2 linked regions of the Coturnix japonica genome follow. The protein of the gene in region 2 binds, or shares a complex with, the protein of the main gene of each other region. Links are inferred from orthologs where the notes say so. Each region holds a gene or a part of one and is shown on either strand. Other genes may lie near its edges. The genes, in order: PDCD10 and STRIP2.

Region 1 (4,477 bases), on a different chromosome or scaffold from region 2:
AAGAGAGACACAGCCAGACTCCGCTCCTTCTGAACTGGTGAAGCCTTCACCAGTGCTCCCAGTTGACTGGGTCCTTTCCCCAGGTGCACAATCAGTGGTTCAGGCTTTGATTCAACAGTCACCATACAGATACATAAGTGAGAAAGCATACTAAAGACCTTGGAGTAGCTAGAGCTTGGTGCAAAGGATCCTACCAGCACCATCTCCTCTCCACTGCTCCATTTAGTAACAAAACAAAAGTTGAATTAAGAGGTAAGTAAACATATGACATTGACATATATAGAATAACTGTTGGGAGTTATTACAATGATGGAACACTCAGACACTCCTGGAGCTCTGCTGGACTGCCTGAACACAGGTCAAAGAGCATATTAAGTAAATCTAGGAAAGCATCATTAAGCATTACTTATGCTGTGACTTAAAGTAAAATACTAGCACCAGTAGGACTGCAGCTTCCTAACATCACTTTACAACCACTAAGGAATGACAATATCATAGATGCATATGCACCTCAACCCATGCTATAATGCTTCTGTGTCTGTCACACAAACTAAATAGCAAGGCTTTCTGCTGGATTAAAGCACTGATCGCATCAAAATAATTGAGGAATCAAAGACAAATACTCCGCATACACAGTAAAGCATGACAAATCTAGTAGTTGTTTTCTAGCATCCTTCCTTACCTACATGCAGATGGTGGGCACTGGTAGCATGTATGGGTAGCACACACAAGGGCTCTGCTCCCACACATATATCAGTATCTTCCCATTTCACCACCTCGGCGCTGCAAGGAGATGCAGCTGGCATTCAGGAGCACCGCGATGCACCGATTCATCACCTGCTTACAGCAAAACCCGCATACGCCTCACCAAAGTAATAACAGTACCAGGAAAAGTTGCAAGCTAACGCATTAGAAACGAAGGCTCAAACCTAGAACTGAGCTGCGTATTGATGGGAATTCATATTGGTTACTAAGAGCTTCACCTTAAAGCTTTCCAATAACTGCGAGCACCAAAAGTAACGCGACCGTTGTCAAACAGCCCATATAGGGGACACCTACAGGGCAACACAAGCCAAGAGATAGAGAGGAGAGAGGCAGCAGCTCAGCACAAGGCTGGGGCAGCTTCGTTCTGCCACGCTCAAACCACGGCTGGGACAGAGCTTCAGGAGACCACAGAATAGCATAAAACACACTCAGGTGGACAGGCTGCAGGTGCCGGGACAGCAGGACGCCACATTATTATTGCTCTCTTCCTTCCCCATTCTCTCCCCACATCACCCACCACCTCCCCTCAGGCACTGACACACAACCCGCACTACGGAGCCACGCAGCTTCACACCGACATCAAACCGCAGGCTGCTCCCGCAACCCTAAACACAGCACCGGCTGAACACAGCAGGCTAAAGGCACTTACCACAGCAGCAGCTCAACACCACCCCCCTCCACTGTGAGAAGTGCAGCCGCTGCTCCCCGCGCCGGGATATGCCACCGCGCCCCGTCCAGGCCTCGCCCACCCGTCCAGATTCGAGCTCTGATTGAATAGACTCTACTCCTATACTCCTCCTCATTCCCTCCTACCCGCCCCTTTTATCGCCTCGTTGCATTGTTGGTGTTGTAGTTGAGGAGAGAGGACTACGAATCCCAAGTATCCGAGCGGCTGCCGGTTAGTTCCGGACAACGCCTGGTGTGTGGTAACACGGCGGACGCTTCCTCCTTGTTGGGTTTCCGGCGAGGTGGAGGAGCCCCCTCGGAGCTCGGTGAGCTTTGCGGGGCGGAGAGGTATCGAGGTAAGGCGGTGAGGTGAGAGAGGCTTCGTTTTCTTCTCTAGGCCCATGTCTTTAAAGGGATAAGCGCCTGGAGAGACACAGAGGAAGAGGGTGGGGGTCACCGGTGTAAGGCCTGGGTTTCCTTTTGGGGTTGTGCTATGTTAGAAGCGTTAAACTGTCTCAGGTTTGAGGCTGGGTGAGGGGAGAAACGTTGTTTGCTGCAGGTGTGAGGCCTCGGCCTTTTTCTTCCTACCGCGGGGTGACCTGGCCCAAGGGCTCGTCCTTGTTTCCGCCCTTCCCGCTCGGATCCCTCCTGGTAGGGCCGGGTACCAACCCCCGTCCGCAGCCCTATGGCTGTTCTTGGCAGCGTTAGGCCTGCGTTGTATTTTTAGCCCGGCCTCGTACTGCTGAACGGCGTTGTCAGGGCTGGGCCTGGTTCGCTCCAGGTGGGGCCTTTCGTCTGGGGGAGGATAGAAAGTGATCACGTCGTGCTTCCTCTTTAAACCAAGCTTTAGGCTGGTGTTGTTAAACACCTTAGTGTGCTGTTATATGATTAATGAGTGGCGAGTGTGTGGCCTTCCTGGGGCTTGTCCATATAGGGGGCACAGGTTTGCTGCTGAAGCCTTGAGGCAGGTGGATGTGTTCTTGTTATCAGAGGAACTGATTGCTGAGTGCTGGTTGTTTACCCATTGGGATGTGTTATTGTGTTTGGAGCTGTTTCTGTTTGTGGTTTATCTGTTAGTGGTTGATAGGGCAATGAGAACTGAGTAGTTTTACTTTCAAATTCCCTTGGAAGAGGAAAAGAGCTTGAAAGAGAAACAGGGATGTGTTGTGTTATTCTGTATTGGAGAGGCTTCTTTGTGGCCTTCTAGTACTTAAAAAGAGACATGTTAACAAAAGAGAAATGAACTTTGTCTGCGTGTCAGTAGTGATAGTACAAGAGAGAGATGAAATTAGGGCCTAGTCCAGGCATCTTTTGTTTTTCATGTGATAGGCAGACACAAAACCAAAGTATTAGGGTGTACTAAATAATTTCTATTCTGAACTTCAGACAACAGATTTATTGAAAGCCAGATTTCAGAGTATTTTGAAGTAACCGTCTAAAAATAGGCTTCTTGAATTTACTGCAAGTTTGTGCAACTTAGTCACCCAAATTGGCTTCACAATAATAAAATGCACAAGCAGTTATACTCTGTCAGAGTGAACTCATCTGGAAGTGGCTGTGATAGATGTGCATGCAGGTATTTGAGGAGTACATGTTTGCTCTACTAAGAGGCATTTAAAGATGCCTATTAAACTTGAGTGCTGTTTTCTGATAGTATTCCTTTTGTTATCTCTTTTGGGAAGGTGCTGAATGTAAGCATTAGCTTAATACAGAACCTGTACAGTAGGCTGCTTCTTTAGGTTTCTTGTTGTCTTTATTAGTTTTAGAATACAGAGGTTGTTATCATCATAGCTGCACTTGACACCAATTTCAGTGAATTCAACCATCCTGTCCCCAGCTCTAATAAGAGAAGTAGCTCAGTATTTGAGGCACAGAGGCTTTCAGCTTTGTACTATGCAGTCAAAGTTATACAAGAGGAGTGGTTATGATCTACGAATGGAAGTACTATGTAGGTAACTTCTCTCCGGAAGGGGGGAACTTGTGCTTTTTTTTCCAGTTTATTATGAGCAACCATTAACAAGAGAAACTTAAAGGTACCAAGTTGTGCACAGGGTAGGTACACTGTTAGAACTGCATATTAGCCATGTACTTGGGCTTTACAAATAAAGGCCAAGGTCTTTGCCTCTGAATTTGGGACAGGCCTCAAGTTAAGTGTTTGTTTTTATCCCGTTCTTTCTTACTAAGCTTAAGTTTTTCTGATGGCAAAGATCTTAGTGGATTTTCTCTTAACACAACCTTCTTGAATCCTCCCTACAAGAAGTGGAGTGGAACTTCTTGTTAGTGGGGATAATCTTTCTAGGAGGAGCAGAGCTGTAACTTCTGGTTCTGTCCTAAAAACCAGTCATTGAATTAATCATGCAGGTAGATCAATGCCTCAGGCCTTCTTCCACTTGGTACTTCGCTTAAAAAGAAGGAGCAGGCTTAAAAAGAAATAGCACAAACGTTTGGCTGCTTTAAGATTATCTACATCTGAGGTAAATGGAGCCTGGAGAATGGAATGGAGACAGCACCAGTGGTGTAGGTAGGTGACGTAGCTGAGGAGTGAAATTCTGCCATCTGGAACTTCATGTTTCCATTGTTTTCCAACTTCTTTCAAGTTCCAAGCATAACACTCTGTCTTCTCTTTAAACATGCTTTCAAAAGGTAGTATGAAGCAAAATACTTTCTTTCATAGACAAGTAGATTGTTTTCACACTGACCAGTGAGCAAAGGTGGATTTGGGAAAGTTTCTGCCCTTCCTGGTTCTTCTGCCACTTGACTTTTAAGTGCCTGTCAGAAAATAGCATAGATGAGAAAAGCAAGTTTGTGTCTTGGGCACTGGTAACAGTAGCTGTACATTTTGGGAAAGTGTGGAGTTTCTTGCTTTTCATCTTCCTGCTTTACAAGAAGTTTATCTGAATGTAGGGTGTTGTGTTGTTTTTTCCTTTCAGGCAGTTCCATTGAATGATTGAAAACCTCATTGGGTGGATTTGGAGGAATAGATCTATAACATAACATTGAAATTCATCTTAAGTGTGCTGGTTCTGTGATTACTGAATAGTTGGGC
Region 2 (3,809 bases):
GCAGCTGAGTTATTTATCCTGTATTTATTCCTGTACAGCAGCAGTTCCCACAGTCCCTGCTCTGGAAACAGCACTGCTGAGCGTGTCCTAGTTTTCCACAGAAGCAAACCAAGCACATCCTGCGTGCAGCCCCCTGAAAGCATTATCATCTATTACATCTGCCAGGAAATGTGATATGGCTGTGATGTTAAATCAGTGCAACAGAGTTAAAACAAACAAAAGACAGCATAAATATTGGCTGAAGAAAAGAAACACAACTACGTGCACTAATGTCACTGAAGAAGCAGTGAAGCAGTGTGTGTTTGATTTCTGTAAATAGGCACTGGATTTTTATAGAAATGGAGTTAGCAATCAATAAAAGAGGGAGGTGAAGAAAGAAAAAGGGAGGAGAAGAAATGAAGGAAGAAAAGAAGAAAAAAGAAAGGGAAAGAAAAGAAAGGAAAAGGAAAGGGAAGGGAAGGAAAAGGAAAAGGAAGGGTGAAAAGGAAAAGGAAAAAGGGAGAAGGAAAAAAAAGACAAGGGAAAAGGGAGAAGGAGAAAGGGAAAGGGAGAAAGGAAGGAAGAAAGAGAAAAGAAAAAAGGGGAAAAAGTAAAAAGAAAATGAAAAAATGAAAAGGGAAAGAGAGAAAGATAAAGAAGGGAAGCAAGGGAAGGGGGAAAAAGGAAAAGAGGGAAAGGAAAAAAGGAAACAAGGATAAAAGGAGAAAAAGACCACTGTGTGCCACTAGAGCTCCCAACGATGTGTCACTAGATGTCCCCATCGGGCCAACTTTGGCTCATCAAAACCACAGAAAGCCTTTCCCTTTATTTCTGATTGCAACGTGTTCACAGCCAAGGAAAACGACATAGGCTCGAAATTTTAGCAGCAGCAGTGAGATAAATTTTCAAGCCCTTCTACAGGAAAAAGTCTATTTTGGGGCTGAAGACACAGAAAAAATGAAAGAAAAGTCCTTCCTCACCCACCTGCATAAAGCAATACTGTTACAAGTGCTCTGCTTCACTTACTAGGCTTTCTGCAGTGAGCTCAGGCAACTCGTGGACTGTACAGTGCGGGTAATCCAGGACAGAGATGCTGTGGAAGATGGGAAAGAAGAGACTCATTAAGGACAATCGGCATGTGAGCCTAACGAGCAGAGCCCTCCCTGCTCCCAGGCATGCATTAGTGGGGGTTTGGAGGAGGTGGATCCATTAGGACATGGCAGATCAGTTATTTGTGTGTATATTAAAAACAAAAACTCATACGAAAAGCAGATTTTAGGTTAAAATGGAAATATCTGACAGCAAGAATATTACCAGCAAGATAATGCATGGCAAGGGCGTTGAGTCTTGCCCAAAGTTTCCAAGCCTTCTGTGTCTACTGCCTTTCTAAAAGTAGCCAACCAAAAAACCCTCAAACGTACACATATATAATATATGTGTATGTGTGTATAATAATAAAATGTACTTTAGACATACATTTTATTAATACATATAAGTGGGGTTTGGTTTCTTTTTGGAAAGCATCTGGCATGGAGAGGATTCAGTGCCACACTTTGCCCTTGCTTGAGCATCGTGCTGTATTTCCCACTGCAGCATCACTGGCCATCGCATGCGTGGCTGTACCTGTTTTTGGCAGTGATATAGGACATGATGTTTTGGTTGAAGAACTTCAGGATCAGCGGGATGCAGTTGGCAAACACCAAATGCTGGGACACATACTCAAACTGGGGGAGAGAAGCGAAATGGGTCAGCGTCAACAGGAACAACTGGAAGCGTGTGCTGGGAATTTCCATTTCCAGTTTGGATGGTTTGCTCTGAACCTGGCAGACCATCTTCCTTGTGCACAAGTCTGCTGTGTGAGGCTTGCATCACATACAACAACTCCCAGCATCTGGAAAAGTGTGTTGACACACAGAATTTCATGGCAAGACTCTAGAAGAGGTGCACCCAGTGAATGCAGGTCGCTTTTCAAGGTAAAAACTGGGGGAAAACATTAAATATGGAAGGAAAAGGAGGAGACTGACTACTACAAAGGATATAGGGTAACTTCCATTCTGGCTTCTACAGTTCACAGAATTGCAGGGGCTGGAAGGGACCTCTAGAGATCATCTACTCCAATCCCCTTGCCCAAGCAGCTCCTTCAACCCATTTGCACAGATCAGCAAAAAGAACAGATAAGGAAAAGAAAGAAAGGGAAAGAAAGGGAAAGAAAGGGAAAGAAAGGGAAAGATAAGGGAAGAAAAGAAAGGAAAAGAAAGGGAAAGAAAGGGAAAGAAAAGAAAGGGAAAGAAAGGGAAAGAAAGGGAAAGAAAGGGAAAGAAAGGGAAAGAAAGGGAAAGAAAGGGAAAGAAAGGGAAAGAAAGGGAAAGAGAAAAAGAAAAATGCCCACTAATTGTTTAACACAAATCAAACTGCATCTAGGACCCTGAGCTGGTTCTACTGAGGCCAGAGCCCTGAGAGCTCTACCCTGCTGAGGACCTCACGAGTCCTGCCTAGCCCCACTGCTCGTGTGGAAGTTGGGCACAGCAGGAGGAATCCTGCCTAACTCCTCCCCACCCCGGCTGCCAGGAGAGGCTCCCTCTGCTGAGATCTCTGGAATTCTAACCTGATTAACCACAGCATGTGTTCATCCACAAGTCAGAGAGCTCTTTCCACATGAGTGGAAACCACCCTGTCAACAAACAGCCAAAGATATATTGCAGGCAGGTTATTCCTGCATGAGTAATGCTCTAAAAAACATGTCCCAGAGCCAGGGTTCATCCCTACAATCCACTGCTCCTCTTGGAAACATTTCCTGGAGAGCTCCAGTAAGGATGCACCAGCCCCACGAGCACCAACCGTGACCCCTTCTCAGTGCTCACCTGGTAGATGTGGTTCAGCTTGAAGTGCTTGAGGAGCAGCAGCAGTAGAGCCGAGATGCTCTTCACAATAATCTCCTTGTGCCTGTTCACATCAATCCCCAACTTCATGCTCTGCAGGACAGTGATGCTGGCATGGTGAGGGAAGATCAAGGCTAACCATCAACCTGATGGGACCATCACTGACCCACATCCCTTGGACCCCACATCTGCAGCCCCATGCCCACATTTGGGGCTCCCTTAACCTATTTGCAACTCCCAACTTTCCCACTTGGTCCAAGGCTGGAACAGCTGGAGGTATCTCCTTCAGGACTTACGGCATCTCCTCAGGCAAGACGTCTGCCAGGATGTTGATGGAGTCAGTTTTGGCCTTGGAGGTGGGCGCTGCAGCAAGGAGGATCTTCAGCAGAGCGATCTGCAGAGGAGGCAGGTGTGGAGGCAAAGGGCGAATCCCTTCCTTTTCCTTGAGACTAGACAACTTCAAGCCAGCTCTAGAAGTTTCCACCAGCCCAAGGTTCACTCATGGTGATGGGCCAGCTGTGCCAATGCTCAGCTCTCCTTTTGTACTCAACTGCAGGCAGCAGGGCAGCTCAGCTTTTGTATTAAGTTGATGCACTGAGCTCTAGTGGTATGGATAAAACAGCGCTGCAGCTTATTGCATTTAAATGTTTGCCTCTCCCTGCAGACAGACTGTAGGTGGCCCAAAATGCATCTTAAAAGAGCTGAATTTGTGAATTGTAGTGTGTGGGAATCTCTTGAGTCGGTGGGAAAGCTGAAAGGGATGTCCCACTGTCCTATCTCCAAACACTGGACCATGCCTCTGGGTATCTGACCTCCTCGATCCTCTGGAACCCTCCTCTTGGAGATGACTTTCCACCCAGCTCTGCTCTGGATTCCCACCGAAATCCCAACGTTCAGATCCCTAACACCCACAGACCCTATTTCATTTCTAAGGAACACAGGCTTACCATA

Evidence for each region.
Region 1: STRIP2 (region 2) and PDCD10 share a complex: the UniProt entries of both Homo sapiens proteins name them as parts of the core of STRIPAK complex. The link is inferred for Coturnix japonica from reciprocal best matches to the Homo sapiens genes STRIP2 and PDCD10.

The regions. Positions count from the first base shown.
Region 1 is NC_029524.1:18,270,560-18,275,036, forward strand, and holds the start of PDCD10 (programmed cell death protein 10), read left to right. Parts: upstream 1-1,607; 5' UTR 1,608-1,757; exon of another isoform or gene 1,758-1,800; intron 1,801-4,477. UniProt on the Homo sapiens protein: Promotes cell proliferation. Modulates apoptotic pathways. Increases mitogen-activated protein kinase activity and STK26 activity. Important for cell migration, and for normal structure and assembly of the Golgi complex.
Region 2 is NC_029516.1:802,797-806,605, reverse strand, and holds part of STRIP2 (striatin-interacting protein 2), read right to left. Parts: coding exon 3,806-3,809; intron 3,253-3,805; coding exon 3,155-3,252; intron 2,968-3,154; coding exon 2,841-2,967; intron 1,704-2,840; coding exon 1,603-1,703; intron 1,073-1,602; coding exon 1,006-1,072; intron 1-1,005. UniProt on the Homo sapiens protein: Plays a role in the regulation of cell morphology and cytoskeletal organization. Required in the control of cell shape. Calmodulin-binding scaffolding protein which is the center of the striatin-interacting phosphatase and kinase (STRIPAK) complexes.